Drosophila melanogaster: one gene and its partners. The protein of the gene in region 1 interacts with the protein of each later gene in a pairwise test. Each region holds a gene or a part of one and is shown in the gene's direction. Other genes may lie near its edges.

Region 1 (4,279 bases):
GATTCCCCCACCACTGTTAAAAATTCCTAGTCACGGTTAAACAGTGTATTAAACTCTAAATAGGTAATGCATGTCACTTTAACATCTATTTTATTATCTACAGTTACGCTATACCTGAAATGCCTGAATACTTTTACATTAGGCTATCAATTGATTACTCCTTGGGCAACTTGTCAAGATCAATGCCGTCATCAATGGACACCCCTGTCGCCTGGCTCAGCTCCAGCATTTCCTTAACCTGGTGAGCAACCTCCCTGTCCACAACTTCTCCACCTCGATTCATGGTCCGTTCGATGATTTCCTCGTCAGACAGTTGCAAGGCGAACATCTCCTCGGGCGAGATGTCCAAGGGATCCACCAAACTCATGAGGAAACTGGCCGATATGGATAAGCTGTACGGCAGGAAACGCACGTACTCCTTCAGAAGCTCACCGCGACTAAGAAATAGCGTAATTAGTATTATATTATTTCTTGGCAGTAAAAAGCTTTACAGGATTATCTTATCTTATCACATCGAGCACCTAATGAGTATTTTTAGATTTTTGATTTGCATTCATATCGCTTGTTTGAAATTTTAAAAGCTTATGAATAATGAATAATAATAACAACTCACCTTAGGAAATCCGGAACCTCCTCCTTGGCGTGCTCCCTATAGCTATTATGAAGCGCCAAGGTGTATTCACAGAAGATGGCCTCGAAGTTTGGATCGCGTACCTCGGCAAAAATGGACACGGCTAGAAAGACGTTGAGATCGACCATGGGAGAGGAGACTCGCAATGTCTGGTAGTCGAACATCATGATCTCCTGCGGCTCCTCCTTGTCATCGTACCTGTACGCCACATTATTCCTCACATAATCGCCGTGGCACAGGGTGGCCAGTGGCTCCCTGGGCGCCACCCGTTGCCTACCGTATTGCGAATAGTCCGAGATCATGAAACAGAACTTCTTAACAAACTCCTCGTCGATCTGTGGCTGATAGGTGGCCACCGCCTTGGCCGCTCGATCGATGCTCGTTTTCATGGTGAGCTTCCATTCCGGATGAATGTTATCGTTGGCATAGCGAGATTCCTTCAGATTGTCAGTCAGCTGGGCAAACTTTTCCGGGTTCTTGTGCTTCATGGCGTACGCAAAGCCATGGAACCTTCCCAGGTAACTCACGGCAATCATGGCGTGCTGCAGACTCAGACCCACACGATCCTTGGTGACCCGCCATCCCTGCTCCGCGAAATTCTCCAGAATGGCCACAGCCGAATGCTGGTTCAACTCGCCGTAATAGTACTTGGGTGCGGCAAACTTGCCATCGGTGAACTTCTGAAACTCTGGCAGAATTTCCGTATAGAAATTTATCTCGTTGGTAAAAAGGGGCCCAAACTGTATGGATTCATACATTTCTGGTGGCATAGCAGGTGTTTTCTACAAAAAAAAAAAAAAACAATTAATTATTGGTATTCTGGGGTCATTGCATGCCAAAGTAAACTTCATCATTAGATGTGATTTATTTTGAATTCAAAATCAATTCGCTTTGTTCTTTTGTTGAGATGCCTCCCTCTATTTCACAATGTTTGCCATAAAACCCACACTCTCACTAAGCTATCTGAGTTTGCTGGAAAACAAAACTGGTAAGTAGTACGCAGTTAAGGCACTTATATAATATAATTTAAATTCCGCGAGTATAGTAAATCTTTTCGTTGTGTTTTTAGATATCCAGATAGATTGTTTAAGATTTATTTATACTATGTGAATGGAATAAACCTACCTTAACCACCATTTTTCGCTGAAACTTTTGCCCGTCGTATTCAAAATTAATGGTTGTCCGGTAGCAAAAAGTTAGCATAAAGGCCTCCGAGTGGCCAATTACATCAATGTCGATGTCCCCCACATGGAATGTGGTCACCTTGGACTCGCTGTAGTTGTCCACCAGGCGCCCGTTCCTCAGAATTGACGGAAGAACCGTGTATCTCAGCCATTGCCTCTCAGCCTCGATCTTCTCCATTTCGTCGGTACTGACGATCCCAACCGCTTCGCTTGTGGATAGCGAATGAGCATAAACCATTTCATATAGCTCATTTTGTACTACTCTCCAAAAGCTCATTCGTTGTTAGAGATTACACGATAAGAGCGAATTGGAAATGAAAAGCTTTCTAATCATTAAAAGCACTTTATGGTTTATAGAGAAGCAGTACCTACCTAATGATTAGCATGATGCAATTTGGCATGTTAAAATGATATGATAAGATATCATGACGCAAAGATAGGGGGATACGCTATTTATTAGTTTTAATTAGTTTTTTTTTTTTGTTTATTGTGTGCAAAGTTTAATGATTCCTTTGGATTAAGTTCTATTTTCCATAATCACAGGTATCGATATATTTTTAGTCAAAATTTCCAGTTTTAGAAAAAGCTATCCTACCGTTGCAGTTCGACTATCGACCAACTACCAATGGGCCTCAACTGGTATTTACTCAAAACGACCGGGTCAATGACCAGGGCCAACACCTACGTTCGAAAGTTCACGAATGGATCGCAGCAAAGTCGAGATATCAGCATGCCATCCAAAGTGCCAAAGAGGACAAGTGCTTCGATCAGGATCACGGATTTGGATAACATGTCATATATGTCCTCTTCTTCGCGAAAAGGCAAAATAACGAGCGGCCGACACGATCAGTTGAAAATGTCGAAGAATGCTCAACACGACGATGTCGTCTGTCCAATGCAAGCGAGTAGGAAGCCCATCGAGGAGCCCACTGTTCGGGATTCGCCACAAATGCGCGAGTTCTTCGAGGAAGTGCGTCAGCGAAAGCTCAAGGATTACTATCTTCAGATGAAGGCTGCACAAAGAAATCCAGCGATGTCCCATGTGTGTCCGGATTGTGGTTTTGTGAAGCGGGATAAGAAGGATCTCAGCAAAAACATTTACTGCACGGGGGATAAACGATTGAGGATAAAAGATTGTGATCGGCATGGGGATCTCACCTGGCTGTGGAACTCCTCCGCTGCATATCCTCACTCTGCACTTAGTTGTGGATGCAGCAGAGGTGTCTCCAGCCACTTGGAAACTTTAATCAAGCTGCACAATATAAAATGTTTAATTTAAAATTTGTAATTTTTGATATCTAGTTGCCAAGGAGTTTGCTGATAATACATCTGTTTTTCTCCGATATTTAGTTTCATTCTGCAATCCAAATCGTTCGTACCTTTCCGATTTGAACCCCACTCTTTCCACAATGTTTTCCGATCCCGCCCAGGAGTCGGTTGCCACGCAGACGGAGGCACAACCGGTTCCGTCGCCCATCTGCACCCCACTGCTGATGGTGGACGAGGATGGACGAAAGCGGTACTGCTACCATGGTGGAAAATGCAAGTGTGCCACTTGCGCACAAATTCGTGCAGAGCAGGCAGTGAAACTCGACCAGGAGCTGCTGTCCTACATACCGCACTCGAAGCTCCACCTGGAAGTTCCAATCCGAATGGCCAAGCCGAAGCAGTATCGCCTGGAAGCTCGACGGGCTACTCCCGAACTGGCAAAATTTCTGCGGGAGGATCACGAGAGGCTGAGGGCGGAGTATCCATCGTACTATCTCCCGGATCGATACTTTGGTAAGAAATTCTACGAGTTGCCAGGACCGCAGCACAAGGAGACCCAGACGGACATTCCGATTGGGCGTTACGGCATCGATGGTTGTCCCTGTACCAATAAATCGCTCTGCTATGACTTGTAATCCTGGGCAGGACTCAATTGGGGAAAAAAGAGTTTAATAAAAGTTCGGAATGTGAGAAGTATTTGCATGTTTTTCAATAAATCACTATAGTTAATTTCCCCGACTATCACATACCCATTACTCAGCTAGTAGGTGTGCAAATTAAATTTAATGTAAATAAATTGATTATCACTTATGATAATAGTTATGATACTCCTATTTCTTGGGTAATTTGGAATAGAAATCCTCCAGGAAATCCTTTAATATCAACTTGAACTTTTCGCCGTGCTTGGCCAATAGCAACTTGGCCTCACTGTCCTCATTGTCCAGCATCTCATCCGCTTCCTCCAGCACCTGAAGGTAATGCAGCCAAGCCGTTTCCAATCCCATAACCTGCTCAAATGTTTCCTCGCTAAGCTTCACCTGGTATTTGTGCAGCAGAACGAAGAGTTCCAGCATCGGAGTAAATGCGGACTGCTTCACTGGCACATCCTTCAGGAGTTTTTCAAAGAGCTGTTTGGCAGCCACCGTTTCACGGATGGTACGAGGAACCTTCATCACATTACGCTCGTTGCGTCGCA
Region 2 (5,260 bases), on another chromosome or scaffold:
TCGAGGCAGTTTGAAGCAGCCGCAGCGAATTGCGGTCGAAGGGAAGGGGGAATTTCGGAGCGGGGTGGGATTATCCTTGCGGAAGAGTGCTCGGTGCTTGGGTCGTGTGCCGCCACAGAGATTCACAGAATGGATTTGCTCTGGTTTGGATGCAAGGCGCTAATCGATATGTACCAGACAAGGGTCCTTCGTCCTGTCAGCCACTTCAACGGGGATGGTCTGCGGTTGATGGTTGCGTTTGCAACTCCTTGACACCAGCAATCTGTTTTCTTTATTTGGCCAGTGTGTGAGAACCATTTGATTCAATTATGCCGACTGACTGATCTTAGATAATCGGTTGGTTGTTCGCAAAAAAATCTAGTTAGAATATTTTAAGTTAGGAAAGTACAAGCATTAACTAGAAAGGTACTTGCATTTAAACATTAAAATCAACAGCAGATAGAAAACAAATTTAGTTTTAATCAGTTGATTAGATGATAATTGTATCTGATTGTAAATCACCAAGTTTAAGTGATTAGTTTTGTATTGCTATATTAAGAACTTATTTTGGCAGATAGTTAAAGTTCTAAGTCCAGTCTAAGCGCATAGGTCAAAATACGCAAGCATATAATATTATATTCCCACAACATTCCCATTCAAATGACCTTAACCCTAACTTACGTTTATAACCCTCAGTTAAATTGGCATGTTCCATACGGCTTAGACCTAAGGAACATTTCAAGTAATACTCTTATATGCAAATCAAATGGGTTTAGGATATTCAATCTATTTATTTTTGGTTTTCCCACAGTTCGTGATTTACACTTCCTTGGGTGCACTCGTTTGAAATGCGATAATTTAATTGTGGTGCGATGACAAGTCCACCTCAGTGGGTTATGGGTTAGGGTTAGGATTAGGGGAAGTACCGGTCTAAAGGGCGGCTTTCCTGCGGCAATTGCAAAAGTTAAATTAACAATCGTGTTTACATTGGTTGGTAACAAGATTTCACTTAAGGATGTCAGCTTTGTTCGCGGCACCACAATTCTATCTCCAGCTCAATCGGTCTGAACTCGAATTCTGCACAGGATTCGGGCACTTACCCTCCATCAAAACTGATTACTGTCATCAGAGCCCGGAGTTCTGGGTGCGAGGGGTGTACGAAGTGTGCGCCGACGCGTGCGACAAGCAAATTTGTCTGGTAATGAAAAGGTTTGCGCATCCGCATCCCTGACATATTGCCAGTCCCTTTGTTCTGCGGATCGGTCTGCTCGGGATTTTCGCGCCTCGGGTTAGGGCACGCGACCAGGTCGCCCGACTGGGCGGGGATTCTCTGACGTAGCTAATTTGCGAGCAAACCAAAACATCAAATAAACATAATTCAATTTCAACAATTGCCCCGTGACGACTGCTGACAAAGACTGCGGCTTCGAGTGGTTCCAGATCCCGATTCTGATCCTGATCCTGTTTCTTGTTCTGGTTAGGTTAAATGAGCCGTGAAATGTAGCGACCAGCTATCTGCCTTAGATCTAATTGCCCTGACTCTGCTTTGTGTCCTCGTCCCGTGGGAATCGAACTTTAGTCGAGTCAAATCAACAGGTCCATGGGCCCCTATTTTGTACTCCGATTACCAGCAGATTTCATCGTATATCCCTTTCCCCATATGGTTGTAAAAACTGATTTTAAAAGGGGAAGCGGGAGGGTTATCTGGGGTTAGGTTAGACGGGTCCCCCGCCTCCAGAAAGCTCCACTCGTCCTCCCCCATCATCAAAGCGGTGGACTCAAACATGGCGACTTCCTGCTGTGCGAAATATAATGGCAGAATGTCAAAAACAGGTGAAGGAAGCACAAAGCGAATGGAGCTGGATCTTAAAGGGGAGTGGCTGCAATGGTATTGTTTCGGCTAGCGAGACTTTAAGCTGTCCTACAATCAACGAACCAATTTTGTGCATTAAGGAAAATTATAAATAAATCGGGATATATATTTTAAAACACAATAAAATTACTTATTAACTTTTCTTAAAATAACTTTAAGCCAAAAAATTTAATAAGGATGGCTTGTATAAAACATGTTTCTGAACAAATATCAAAGTCATTCTGATTTCTAAGTAGACGGGCAAATCAACTACCATAATTAACTTGAAATCCAGATCTACGCCCAGCAATTGAAGGGTAGCCAGAGGCGAATAAGTCCAACGAATTTCCCACAGCATCCGCTCCATTTGCAGGGGCAAACACCCTGTACTTGGCAAGCTCCGCCCATCTCGTAGACGGCTCACGGTAACTGGCTGCAAGGACGTTTAGGGGTGGAAAGGTCCTGGCCAGAGTTGTGGCATTTCCAATTGGATCTGCGGCACTATAAAAGGCTCGCAATTCCCGGGAGATGGACTCACTAAAGTTTTTAACTTATTGGACAGCGGAAGTGCGTAAAAGTGTCGGAAAAGTTAATAGTCGTTCTAGATTTTAATTGGATTAATATTGTTTAGTGAAAAAATAACACATTTGATAAGAAAATGTCGCGAAATCAATTGCCGGATTCGTCGTCTTCACCGCCCATTAGGTACGGATGTTATATAAATATATATAAAATAATAAATATACTATAATAAATACGTAAATTATTCTCTGATTATAATGATAAAATTCGAAAATGTTTTAATGTACGACATAAACGAAAAACGTATGCATATTTATTTAATCAAATAACTGAATAATTGCTCATATATACAGTTTTATTTAATAAAAAATAAATCTATTTATTTACATAAGTATGCGCGCAGAAGTGGAGTCGCGCCCAGAATCTGAACTGACTTTCGTCAGTGCCGTCGGTATCTCGATTTGATTAAATACACGGATACAAAATTAATTACTTTAGACTTTACAATACAGTCCTAATCATCAAATGTTCAATTCTTACCTTTAACAGCCATTTACCCTTCCACAATTTCGACGATGATCTGATTAACGATTTGCCCTCCTGCATTTATGCGGGTCAGCATCAAGGCGGAGGCGCCACCGGTGGAGGTGGTGGATCGGGAGGTGGCGGTGGCAGTTCTGGGCTGCGTCTGAGCTCCAACAACCTGCGTCACATCCAGCAGCATTATATGCAACATAGCGGAGGTATGACGGAGAATAAATATATTTACGTCAAGACACCTTGAATATCTTTCTGAAATCCCTCAGAAAATCTGCTCGACTCCTCTACCAATCCAATGGGGGTGCACAATTCCGGGGGAGGAGCACCCTTAATGTGCAACAGCCCCAGTGCCAGCAGCAGTGGAGGAGGGTGCGGCAACGCAGGATCTGCTACTCCTGGCGGTGCAGGTGGTCCCAATCCTGGATATGGATCCGTGGGAGCTGCAACTGCGTCCAGCTACAAAATGCAGCGACAGGCGGCCAATGTGCGGGAAAGGAAACGCATCCAGAGGTCCGCCCCAACTGGGTACACCAAATGGTCTTTTCCATTTTACAACTTACTATCCCACGATCTCTTAACCAGAAATTATAACTAACAAGCTTTCCTTTTTTTTTTGTATTTTTGCGCTTTGCAGTAGCATCAATTCGGCTTTCGATGAGCTAAGGGTCCATGTACCCACCTTTCCGTACGAGAAACGTCTGAGCAAGATCGACACTCTGCGGCTTGCCATCGCCTATATATCTCTGCTCCGTGAGGTACTACAAACCGACTACGATCCCCTAACCTATGTGGAGAAGTGTCTGCGCGGAGAGATCAAAGCGGATAGGGCTAATTGGAATACGAGTGGTGAGTAGAGAATTTGGTCGGAATATCAATGGTCAATAAATGGTTCGCTTCGCAGATCTCACAGCTCGTCTGTCGTGGATCAACTGGGAGAACCTCGGAGTACATCCTGGTAGGCGAACCCTGCTTACCTCGTTGGCTCTCTCCTCGGAACCCATGTGCGGAGCTCATTGCGGAATGCCGTAGATTCGCTCTATATATTTGAGGCTTAGCCTATCAACTGCTGAAAGCACTTACCACTTAAGCTTCTGATCTTCCCCAAAGATTACAAAGTCTTCCCTTTAGGTTTTGATATCCCAAAATAGTTTAAGGCTGGACATATTTCTACAGTTACTAACAGTTAGCAATAGTATTTTATTTGAAAAGCGTCTCGGCTGCACGAAATACAAGACCCATCTGCCATTGAAGCCCACTACTGTGTTTAATAAATAGTTATTGGTTTCAAAGGCTCGCAGGATAATGCATTTACAAATCAATTCCTCAAATTATATTTCAGGATAAATCTTTTGTAAATAGTATTGAGTATTGGGCAACCGATCTGACAAACCGACAAACCAGTTGCAGCTAACAGACGTTTTACAGTTAGTCAACTATGTAACAACTTTAAAAGCATTTATATATATAAAAGTAAATACATGTTTTAACTAGACGTAGACATTAACATAGCTCCCTATCAAAGTACACATACTCGAAAATAAATACTTCTTTGATCAACAAGATAACTTAGAACACAAAATGTTTGTTGTTGGGTAAAAGGAGGGCTAAATGCGCTGCCGATGGTTAGGCATGTATGTAATTTGTATAATATTTATGTACTTGCTCTATTTGGACTACATGCGGAAGATATCAACTAGAAACTTTTGGCTACTACTCCTACGGCATACGTACGTAGGTACATATGCGCTTAAACTAATCTGTTCAACTCTGTTAAATTTCAAATTTCGCTTTGATAACTCGACCAGATTTCGTTGGCTAATACTCAAATTGTGTTGACCTTGGCTACAATGGTAATACAAATGCGCGCACATAAGTATGTACTAAATAGAAACGATTACATAATGCACACTCACAATAATGAACATAAACACAATGACACGGCTGAACTACGCTCCTAATAATTGAATTTTCGATTGCTTCTCCAATTTGTTTTTGGTTTTGTTGCTGTTGTTTGATCTATTGGTCATAGAGCCCTTTCCACACTGGCTCCTTAGGCCGGATTAAGCACGGCCACCTTGCGTAGGCTCTCTAGCTCGCTTCTCTTCAAACGCAGACTGAACATGGCCTCAACAAAGCCATGACAGTCCGTCACAATGTTGTCCTGGATCATGGTATCCCGGAATAGATTGGCCAGGGCAGCAATATCATCACAGCCCAGAATGGCGTTCTTGTGAGTGACGAACATGGTTAGGGCGGCACGAAAAACGATCTTGTAGCCCTCGGCAAAGACACAGTCCCATATACGTAGCACAGTCTCCACGGGCAGCACCTCGGCAAAGATGCAGATGAACCATTTGCTGGCGATCA
Region 3 (5,052 bases), on another chromosome or scaffold:
GCATAAATTAACTTAAAATTTCAAAAAATTAATCTCTGGTTGATCAATGAAACTGGAGAGGATCGAAATATGTTTGGGTATTCATGATTAAGCTGAATTCGAAATTTATGTTAAAAAAAAAGTATAAATAAACCCAATAGTTCGAGTTTTGTTGTATGAAAAGTATTTACAATCGATATTTACCATATTCGCTTTTTAACTAATTGGGTTCTGATTATTTTACTAGACTGTTTATTAGATAATTAACACATTTCGCCAGGTGATTTCAACTCGAAAGCATAGCAAAAACCCTCTAGATGCCCTGGTTGATGCCTATTTTCGTCTTGGTGAGGAGACCCTCGTCGCCCATGTCTGCATTGTAGCCAGGACGGTACTTCATGCCGGGAGCCTGTGTGCAAAGGGGCAGAATTAATGTGAAAAGAAATCGAACAGGGAAATGGAAACACCGAACTTACATTGAACCAGACATCACGCCAGACTTTGCCGTCGTCAGCGCTGCGCACCAGCTCCGGGACATCGAAACGCGGCACATTGAAGTAATTCATCAGATCGGGCTTCTCATGGCAGTACTTGATACGGGCTTCGCACCACTCGGCCTCCAGCGGGAAACGCCAGTCGAGCATCTTCTTGTTGTGAATATCGGCCTCAAACTGGTTGAAGTCGATGCGTTCGATATCCTCCACCACAACCTCAGTCTCACCGCCGGCTGTCCAGTCGTAGATGAGCAGCTCGGCATGGGTGGAGATGTCCTTGAGGTACTGCTGCTTGTACAGCTGCTCCAAATCGCTCAAGTAGGCATCGCTGAACACCTTTGACTGCACCTCGTAGTCCACATTGCGTGCCTTGATCTGCTTCTTCACGGCATCGACCGGCAGATCCAAGTAGATAACCAAATGCGGCTTCAGCAGCTCCCCGATGGTGTTCTGTCGGAGCTCATTATACACGGAACGCGCACCGCGTGACAGATAACCCTGCCGAAACATGGCCTCCATGAAGACAAAGTCCGAGTAGGGGCTGCGCTCGAGGACAACACCCTGGCCGGTGCTAAGGACGTGCTGCAGGGCATCAATGTACTGCGAATAGCGCAGCATGTACATGCGAATCTGGAACTGGGCAGCCAGATCGTGGCTGGGATCCAGGCAGAAGTTGCGCACATCGTAGCTTCGGCAGCTGGGCGGCAACTGAGGATCCAACTTCCTCATGTCATAGCCGTACGAATTGATGTAGATTAGGTCCAGATCAACTGCCGGATAGTACTCCATGTCCAGCTCCTCAGCCAGTTCCTTGGCGAACTTTGACTTGCCGGCCGCGATGGGTCCCTCCACACAGATCACCTTGGAGTTCTCGTCAAAACGCTTGGAGGTCTTGTCGAAAATAGCATTGAACACGCTGTACTTCTTCGTCTTGTACGGATAGGGGGCGGCCTTGGGCACCCGTGGTCCACCTCGCATCGTCTTGCCGGAGATGCTGCATCGCTGCTGGAAGGCAGCAGGCAGGGCATTCGTCTGCGCCTGGAGTAGATTGGGCGACTGTGTGGCGCGGCTGACGAGCCGCACCAGTCCTACGCGGAACACGGCGGTCATTCTGAAGGGAAAACAAGGGTCAGTACAAAAACGAAACAAGATAATAACAATTATATCTCGTCCAGTGGCAATTTGTCGTGTGGTTACATCACAGGAGCTACGCAGGTAGTGCGGTAATCTCTGCCCTAGAACTGCAGATATGCGGATCTTTTCGTTGCATTCTGCTGGCCAGCATTGCGGCGCTCCATAGATTTACCCAAATTGTCGGTTTTAATGCTCTATCCGGTGGTATTTACTCACTTTTCAATCTAAATATCGGAAGTCTACCCAAAAACAAATTTCGGGCTATGGTTGGTGTTGGAAAACTCCCCGAATAGGGCTGTCAAGGTATCCGTTCAAATATCAAAAATGTAAAATCAAAATGTTTGTCTATGCTTTAACTGCGACTTTTCTCAGAATCAGAAAGAATTTCATATGAAATGAAATTTAACCCAGTATTTTAAAAACTTTATATAACACTTACAAAATAACATTTTAATGTATAAATGTATTTGTTTTACTTTTTAAAAATATCGCAAAGCGACTGCTCAACACTACACAGCACAGCTGGGGTGTTTAACTACAAGTTAATTTACTTGAAATAAATTCAACAATGCTTTTCATTTGTAGACAGACACACACCATAAACTCACATTGCCGTGCGGTGCGAGTTGATTTTTTAAATTTTTAACTTAACATATTGTCACGGTGCAGAAACAACTGGTCCACTTTCCGTTGGTCTGGCAGCCCTGACCACAACCTCGCTGCATTTTGGGCTCAAAAGTTCTAACGATGAACTAACGAAAATATAAATCAAAATTTAAGGCGAAAGGCTCCAGGAGAAGATCGACAAATATCGAGAGTTGTGACCATTAGGATCGAGTAAGTCCTGGCGTTGGGGCCCAGCACTGGGAGTGTAACCCACTCCTTACAGTTACGCAACTGAGAACTAATGCGATTTTCCTCGTGACACAGATTTTGTTATTAACCAATCCCCAGCAGAAATGGGCAATACAGCCATCACCCGAGTGCAAATGGAGGCCACGAAGAGTGTGCCGGTGGACCACGCCAAGTACATGAGCGGCAGTGGTGCCCCGCCACCAGAATGCCCCATGCATCAGAAGCATGGAGATGCAAAATCGGCCTCCGCCGTACCCCCACATCCCAAGATGCAGGCCGCTTCCGAATGTCCGGTGCAGCACGACAACAGCGACGTTAATCCGCTGAATATGATGCCACCGGCAAACCAACAGCCGGCGGCAGATCAGCCCTTTCCACTGCCCACCGACCGCCAGACGTCGACCATTCCCAAAGTCACCGAGGATGGCAGCGTTCAATTCTGGCAGTATCCCAGCCAACAGATGTTCTGGAACGCCATGCTACGCAAGGGCTGGCGCTGGAAGACCGAGGACGTATCGCAAAAGGACATGGGCGACATCATACGCATCCACAATGCCAACAACGAGCAGGCCTGGCAGGAGGTACTTAAGTGGGAGGCGCTTCACGCCAAGGAATGCGGCAATCCGCGCCTCAAGAGTTTCGGTGGCAAGGCCAAGGACTTCAGTCCGCGCGCTCGATTCCGCAGCTGGCTGGGGTGAGTATACTCCAGACGGAAGATCTCACCTGAATTAATGTTCGAATTGTCTTACAGATACGAGCTGCCATTCGATAGGCATGACTGGATAGTCGATCGCTGCGGCAAGGATGTGCGCTACGTCATCGACTACTACGACGGTGGACTGGTGGACAAAGACTACCGCTTTGCCCTGCTGGATGTGCGCCCAGCCATGGACTCCGTGGACAACGTTTGGGACAGAATGCGCGTAGCTTACATGCGCTGGAAGTACGAGCTGTTTGAGAAGTTTGGCAGCGCGGATGGCGGCAAAGTGACCGCTGGTAGCGACTAGATGGAATGCATATTTAGATGATCGCTATAGGTACAAAATCGGCTTAAGTTATCGAATGGATGGAAGAGGGAGTTTGGTTAAATGCGTTTAAGACGCTGCGAAGCGAAACGATGTTGAGCCCTCTCTTTAAATAAATGTTGAATCTTGACTTCTGAACACCAAAATTCGAATGTGGTTTTGCTTTTTATTTTATTCTTTACTTAAATCCTTTTAAGGATTTCGAATTATCCAGTAACGAGTTGATAGCATTGTGGAGGAATATATTAATTAAAGTTTTTTTTTATTGATATACTTATGTATATGCAGAATTCTCATCTGTTCAAAATGCCTGTAAAAATTTTTTTTCTTAATCTTTAGTTTTATATTTTATTTATATGCTCTTTAAAATGATTGCGAAATTATAAAAATACGTTTACTACTTTTTTATCATTACTACAAATTTAAAAAATGTATAGTAAATAGAATATAACTTTAGACGTTTCTTAACTTTTTTAACATACATTTTCTGATAAAAAGTTGATATGCAACCCATAACATTATATGTATGTTTATATGTATGATGCTTTTCTAACACCTGCGGCTTCAGGGGGTTAATGTCTGGCAGTGTTGAAAAGCGCGTGTAAATTCTTTAACTGATTGCTGGTGCCCTCATTACGTGAGATTCGAGTTTGGCCACTGGAGCGTTAATTGGATAGCCGCGATAGATTCGTTCGACGTAAATCAGTCATAAATGCAAGCTGCCAGAATGAGGTTCGTTCAATACCTGCGAAAAGGTGACTTGGCCAAGCGACTTGGTCTACTGTCCGAGGATCAAAAGTCGCTGGTGGAATTTGCCGGCTTGGAGGGTGTGCCCAGCGATCTAAAGATCCTGATTGCCCAGGATCCCAATCTGGAGGAACTGGCGAAGAAGGCCGAAAAGCAGCCGCGACTCGAGGTGAATGATGATGTCACTTTGCTGCCGCCTCTTACCGATCCCGGCAAGATCATCTGCATTGGTAAAGAATGAATTAACATACATATGTATAAACATATGTAGTTGGACCCTGACCTTCAAAATGACGTATTCTCGATCTGCTTGCAGGTCTGAACTACCAGGACCACTGCGATGAGCAGAACAAGCCGACCCCCAAGGAACCATTGTTCTTTAGCAAGTTTAACAATGCCCTGGTGGGTCCTCAAGATAATGTCATCGCTCATGCGGCCAGCAGCGTAAGTGAAGCAAGAGATAACAAGAGATAGGCTCATCGAGATAACCAACCGACCAAAAAAAAATTCCACAGAAAATCGATTGGGAGGTTGAGCTGGTCTGTGTCATTGGCAAGGTCGCCCGCCAGGTGCCCAAATCGCAGGCCATGGACTATGTCTTCGGGTATTCGGTGGCCCAGGATATCTCCGCCCGCGACTGGCAGAAGGAACGCAACGGTGGTCAGTTCCTTATGGGCAAGTCGATGGACACTTTTCTGCCGCTGGGACCGGCTGTGGTGCACAAGAGTCTGGTGCCGGATGTTTACAACTTGAATCTGAAAACCTGGGTCAACGGCGTGGAGAAGCAGAACGGCAATACCGGCAACTTGATCTTCAAG
Region 4 (6,014 bases), on another chromosome or scaffold:
ACGGGGATTTCGGTAAAAACGTGAGTAAAGAGGATATAAATATGTCATTTATAAAGAGAAGTAAATAGAGTTTAAAATGATTACAGAAGGATCTAAGGATGGTATATACTCATAGACAAGTCATTATTAAACAAAATTTAGTTTTTTGTGCATAAAAATCGAAAAAATTGTCCAAATTTGGAAAGTTATACCTCGTTGTGCTCAGATCTTTATCCTTTACAAACACAAAACAACTGCCATTAAAATGTGTAAAAAAAATTTTTTTGACCATTTTCGAAAATTTTGATGATGGTACCCCTTACAAAAAAGTCGAAAAATGGGTAAATTTTTTTTTTTTCAAAAACTCTTAAAAAGTGATTTGGGTTTTCTTCTTAGGTTGTCGGGTGTAAAAAACAGTGCTTCTTATAGCGATGTGTCTTATTTTGACTTAGTTATAACATAATAACTGAAAAACACGCATTTTCGTTGTACCCTTCAATTAATAATTTAATTTACAGTGCCATAGATATTCTAAAGCCCCTTAATCATAATATGCATATTTAAATCCCCAGAGCGCGCATATCTTCGTACTCAACCGCTTCATTCTAGGCCAAAAGCGTTATAAATTGGCTGGCATTTGTCAACCGGCGAACGGAGTCAAGTACGGGCTTGGAAATGTGTCTTTGGCATATCTCACGGATGCCAAACGTAAGACAAGCAGCTCGAGAGCAAACAAAAGCGCGAAGACAAACAAATTCGAATGTATCTGAGTATCTCGGCTTGTATCTGCAGACGTCTGCGGTGGCATTAATGGCAAATTTGCACGAAGTCAATAGCGAAAGCCGGGGAATACTACAGTCAATTATCGGTGGCGTCGAATATGGACGAATGTATCTGCGAGTGTAGATACTTTCGTATCTGACCATGTATGTTGATGTTTTTGTTTTTCCACCTGCGTGTAGCGTTGTTGTTGTTTTTTCCACTTACTGCCACCGTGTACGCAAAAGTGTCTCGCTCTCTCTTTCTAACCGCATGCCCCGTCCCGCTCACTCGTTGTATCTTGTATCTCGTGTTTCTCGCTCTTTTTGTCGACCGCCGATTGGCTGACTTTTGAGTCTGCGCCGCTATCCGGAGAGGCCACACCTCTAAAAACCCCCTTAGAAAACCACGTTTGCGTGTTATTTCAGATACTTTTGGCCCCCCTGCACCAACCATTTTACCCCCCCGCGCGCGGAAAACATAAACTTGTGGCTCCCTAATGGCCAAAAATAAGGAAACCAGGGGGATGAGTCGAAATGAAAATGGCTTTTATGTGTGGCGTGCGTTGGGGTAATTTTATGATTCAGGGAATTACACAGGGAAATGACAGTCCTCGTTCTTCTTTTGCTTTCCACCTGGAATATGTAGATACAGATACCTTTTAATTGTCGCTCTATTGATTTCCCCCAAAGAAAGCACATAAGCTGACTTAATTTATGCTTTAATTCTATTTAATTATGTTTTTTTTTTACCATCTAAAACTGCATGAGGTCTATGAAAGATTCGCGTGTTAGCTGGACAGTTTTTATTTTGTTTAGGCTCTATCTAAAATGTGTCAAACTTAATGAACGGTGTAGTAAAGCGGTTTTAATGGGGGAGGTTCTGTTCGGGGATTATGCTTTGTATGTTTTTGATTTATTACTCCTTAAAGGCTACCAATTTTATACCTTAAGTTATAAAACTTATAAAAAAAGAACGAGGTCCTTAAAAAACACTCTGTCGTATAAAAGTTCTTTACGGAAATCAATTAAATCAAATCGAAGCCATATATGTAGATTTTATTTATATAAACATTTAATTGTAAAGTTTTGTAAATTTAAATGATATTCTAATTGATCGGATTATAATAAAATTATTACTCTAAAATTAATAATTTTTATTTATTTGTTACTGAATACTCCATAAGGGACTTATAAACTTTAATTTCTAACCTCCTTGCCCTATTTCGAGATCTTTTCTGAAGCGTGGTTACTTACTTTTTCACCCATTACCACCTCTACCGCAGGTCAAATCTAAAATGGCGAATCCCAGGCGGTTCATTCAATTAAAATCGATCGCAGCTCTTATACTCCAGTGTCTCCAATAAGATCAGCTGGCTGGAACACACCTGAGAGTCGGATATAAGAGCGACAGATCACCTGGGCCGAAAGTGGCGGAGAGCGGACCAGGTGAGCGGAACACCTGGTGAGCAGAGTATCCGACAGATACAGATACGAAAGGTGAGCGAGAGCGGCACAGAGCGGGCAGTGGAGGGTTAAGCGGCGGGGGTTAAGCGGCAGCTAGCTGACTGGCTTTCTGACTTTCGAGGCTCGTCTGCGCGAAACCCGCGCTCGTCCAATCAGTACGAACTCGGTTCCCGCCAGCGCAGTAACAACTTCGCCGACGAGCGCGTGAATCGCCTAAATATCCACTCAAGCAACACAGAAAATAAGTTATAAATTGAAACCCGCAAGTGCCTTACCATTATCTGTAGAATATTGCAACGAATTTACTGCCCATATATACAGCATATCGAGAGGAACAAGAGATACAGATACAAATAAGATACAAGCCGAAGCTCATCATCGAATGCGGAAGTGAGCGAAAGCCGCCGGCTTTTATTAATTTTGTGCAATTAACGCAAAGGATACAAAAAATCAGTGTGCAAACAAAGGGAAACAAAAGAGTGAGAGAAAGTGATCGAGTGCCTTCATTTGCATATCCTTGCAAATTAAATTAATTTAACAACAAATAACAAAAAGCAATTGAATAATAAGAAAACGTGCCGCAATGTCTGTTGCTCGCAGTGCCATGTCAAGCTGAAGTATTCAATAATAATCCCGAAATTCGATTCCGAATACGATTTTGAATTCGCATCCGAAATTGATTAATCACTGTGCCTTGAACTGATCGTGACTCGTGAGTCAGAGCAGCGCCATTTAATTGTCCGCAAACACAAAAGTACGGAGCCCAGTTGCAAATTGTCGGGTTAAATATTGGTAGAATATCGGTAGAATCGGTGGCATCCCCTCCCCCGCCAGGCATTCCACCTGGCCAACAGTCGAGTGAAGGAGCTTCATGCGAAAAACGCCGCTTAAATGCATACGGATATCATAATTGGTGATCAGTTTGCCGCCAACAATAACTACTGGGTGATGCAGGTGAGTTCGGTTACTAGAATATTTAATTAAAGGCTACTTAAGACATTCTGGAAATTCCAGCGAAAAGATCTAGAAAACTTGATCTTTTGTAATAAATAAAATCCAAATAGCAGATAGATATTTTCTATCAAATAAAAGGCAGTGTCGAAATTTCAAATATCAATCACTTAAATAAAATTCCCTAGCTTGATCAACATTCAAATGGAAATATATCCAACTATTATAGAAAGAATATGTGTGTCTTTAAACAAGGATGAACACATCACAAAGCGTTTAAATATCGTAATCATTAGCCAATTAATTTGCAATCACAGGTTCCTTGTCAAACCCAATTCAAATGAAACAAAAAAAACTTTACGTACCAAAGTGCGCTAATTAAGCCGCTTTTATTGCAAATTAATTTTAGCCAAATTTGACAACAATAAGCGAGCACACAACAAATACGAGAGCTTACAAATCACATGAAAAACACCTTAAGCCCAACAACTTCCGCTTATCAAAATGCAAATCTTGAACAGACCAGATTTTTGACGATTTTTGTACGAATTCGAGTACGAGTATAAATAAAACGCACGCGGCAATCACAAATTACAATAAAACCGAAAACAAATTAGCTCAATTATCGATTGAGATGAGGAGTTGGACTGCGTAATTTTTGAGTGTTCTCGAGTGTGTTTCGACAGAGATTAACACCTTGGATTTCCTCAGGTGTTCCTTCGGTTCCTTCGCCGTTTTTTCCCCATTTTTGTTTTTTTTTGTTTGTCAAATGCGACAATCGATTTGTAAATCTTGTTATCACCTGCAGGAACTCTCGGCTCTTAAAGCCGTTCTCAAATACACGGTCGGTTAACTCTTTTGAACTCATCCACACTTTTCACGCGTTCCGCAGGGAAACTGTGGCGATCACAGTCCATCCGATGCGATCCGATCCGCACTCCTCCTTTCGATATCCATGTTTGCAGCCTGTTTTTCTGTTTTCCCGGCTTGTTTGCCTCAATTGTTTGACTCGCGCTTACTTGCGAAGCTCTGGGTAAATATTTGCCCCCAACACTTTGCCAATGTGCCAAGTGTCCCCAACTGACTGACGAGATGGTTTCAACACGGTTCCTACCCGGGAATATATACATATAGCTATAGCCTGATCATCGACTGGGTGGCATTGATCGATGGTATTGGATAGTATGAGAACATAATTACAAACGGCAAGGGTACATACGTATGAGTAATATGTCTTTCCGAGGAACTGTTTATCCTGTTTATTGCTGAATGTCAATAAATACTTTAGAGTGAAACTGATCGCACAGATTGTGGTTATTAAAGTTATCGAGTATAGGTTAAGTTTTTAGGCCATACTCATTTACCATGAATTAATTTTTCAAAGTATACGTACTTTTTTATTACCAATAATCTTGAGCCTTGATTATCTTTCTTATAAATTTTATGATGTGTAGGCTATCTTCCTAAATTTTCCTATCATTCCCTGTCTTATTGCCTTATCTCAACATTTTACAACCGTTGGTCTACCAGCCTTACGCCCATTGATAAGTTCAGTTTCCCGCAGAAAGTCTAGCCTTGCTCAACAAAAGCTCTGTGTTAAGTGCCTCCAGCTGCCCTCCTCAGAACACTTCCTTCCCCCAGAGATAAGGATCGAACTCCGGGAACCTCAGCGAAACAGATATACATACATAGGTACAGACGAAGAAACCCGAGACATTGGCGATTCCGGGTAAAAAGGCATCGTAAAAGAGCTGGGTGTTCGACAAGTGTGTTGTGCTTGTTCCGCCTGTCACCATCAATAGCTGCACTAATTAGGCATGTGTTGTCAAATATTTACACACAGTCGCAAAAGTACAAAGCGCTGTTGGCCCCCTTTGGCCCCCTGGAAGCCCCATCCACTTCCTCCAGATAGTGTAAGCTTTTGGGTGAGGGGGTGGACTTCTTCCGTTTTCCACTGATTTAACAGATATGATGAGATATGGTAAGGTAATTCCCACGACTCACGGCGATTATGACGAAAAACTTTCGTATTTTATGGCTCTAAACGAAATTAGTTTACGATCGCTTACAGGGAATTAGCTGCACTGAGTATAGAAGTATCCAAGTATCCGAGTATCTGCGTATCGAATACATTCAGTGAATAATGGAAGTAATCCAGCACGTAGCCAGGCGGTTATAGCGCCGACTTTTGCGGCTCTGATTAATGACCCTGAACCATTGTGCTTCAATCGTAAATAATTAAATATAGATAAAAATCAGATAACTCTAAGTTTGAGCTTTTGAAAAAAAAAAGGGGGGGGGGGGGTGTTTAAACTAAACGGGCCGAAGAATTATGCAAATTATTTAAGACTAAACGAAACTTGCAGTCGCTCCAGTGATTTGTCAATAAAAGACATTTACAAATATACCAAATGAAACGTATATGAGTTTATAGCCTATCTGAATCAATAGGAAATATTTGCATTTGCGAATCGGAATCAGACAAAGGCGGCCGCCTTCAAAGAATCAAAATCGGTGCTGAAATTTAACAAGAATTACGGCAATTGCCTTGCCGTCTGCTCATCTGAGCCATAAAAAATCGTGGCAAATTAGATAGAAAACAGCCGAATAATGGCCCGATAAGATAATGATATCCCTAGTAGACTTTCCATTTCGAAATGAGTTCAAGATTGGATCGAGCCCCCGAACAAAACACCGATTGCCAATTACACACCGTCCAGACAATGGCAGTTAAATAATAACTGGAGTAAGCCATGAAAACAGTTGGCCAAAATCTCATTAAGGCCCAGTGGGAGATCGCCCATCAATCGATCGATTCCTATGCAAATCTCGCCAGTAATTTCTGTTTCCACCATAACA

The links.
Region 2: the proteins of CG30324 (region 1) and Fer2 interact in a two-hybrid assay, tested with the Drosophila melanogaster proteins (one large-scale study listed by BioGRID).
Region 3: the proteins of CG30324 (region 1) and Cchl interact in a two-hybrid assay, tested with the Drosophila melanogaster proteins (one large-scale study listed by BioGRID).
Region 4: the proteins of CG30324 (region 1) and dar1 interact in a two-hybrid assay, tested with the Drosophila melanogaster proteins (one large-scale study listed by BioGRID).

What each region holds. Positions count from the first base shown.
Region 1 is NT_033778.4:16,287,086-16,291,364, reverse strand, and holds CG30324 (uncharacterized protein), read left to right. Parts: upstream 1-3,131; 5' UTR 3,132-3,224; coding exon 3,225-3,719; 3' UTR 3,720-3,779; downstream 3,780-4,279. Other genes in the region: JhI-26 (juvenile hormone-inducible protein 26), read right to left, coding at 155-437, 614-1,413, 1,757-1,993; CG30099 (uncharacterized protein), read left to right, coding at 2,441-3,094; CG9068 (uncharacterized protein), read right to left, coding at 3,915-4,279.
Region 2 is NT_033777.3:16,148,450-16,153,709, reverse strand, and holds Fer2 (48 related 2), read left to right. Parts: upstream 1-2,397; 5' UTR 2,398-2,489; coding exon 2,490-2,536; intron 2,537-2,902; coding exon 2,903-3,096; intron 3,097-3,159; coding exon 3,160-3,430; intron 3,431-3,527; coding exon 3,528-3,739; intron 3,740-3,794; coding exon 3,795-3,922; 3' UTR 3,923-4,341; downstream 4,342-5,260. Other genes in the region: CG5916 (uncharacterized protein), read right to left, coding at 4,944-5,260.
Region 3 is NT_033777.3:22,024,552-22,029,603, reverse strand, and holds Cchl (cytochrome c heme lyase), read left to right. Parts: upstream 1-2,123; 5' UTR 2,124-2,444; intron 2,445-2,537; 5' UTR 2,538-2,566; coding exon 2,567-3,156; intron 3,157-3,213; coding exon 3,214-3,469; 3' UTR 3,470-3,629; downstream 3,630-5,052. Other genes in the region: ND-42 (NADH dehydrogenase (ubiquinone) 42 kDa subunit), read right to left, coding at 293-388, 456-1,583; CG6028 (uncharacterized protein), read left to right, coding at 4,200-4,464, 4,551-4,678, 4,750-5,052.
Region 4 is NT_037436.4:3,623,987-3,630,000, forward strand, and holds the start of dar1 (dendritic arbor reduction 1), read left to right. Parts: upstream 1-2,365; 5' UTR 2,366-3,095; coding exon 3,096-3,158; intron 3,159-6,014. UniProt on the Drosophila melanogaster protein: Transcriptional regulator which promotes dendrite growth by suppressing, either directly or indirectly, the expression of the microtubule-severing protein spas.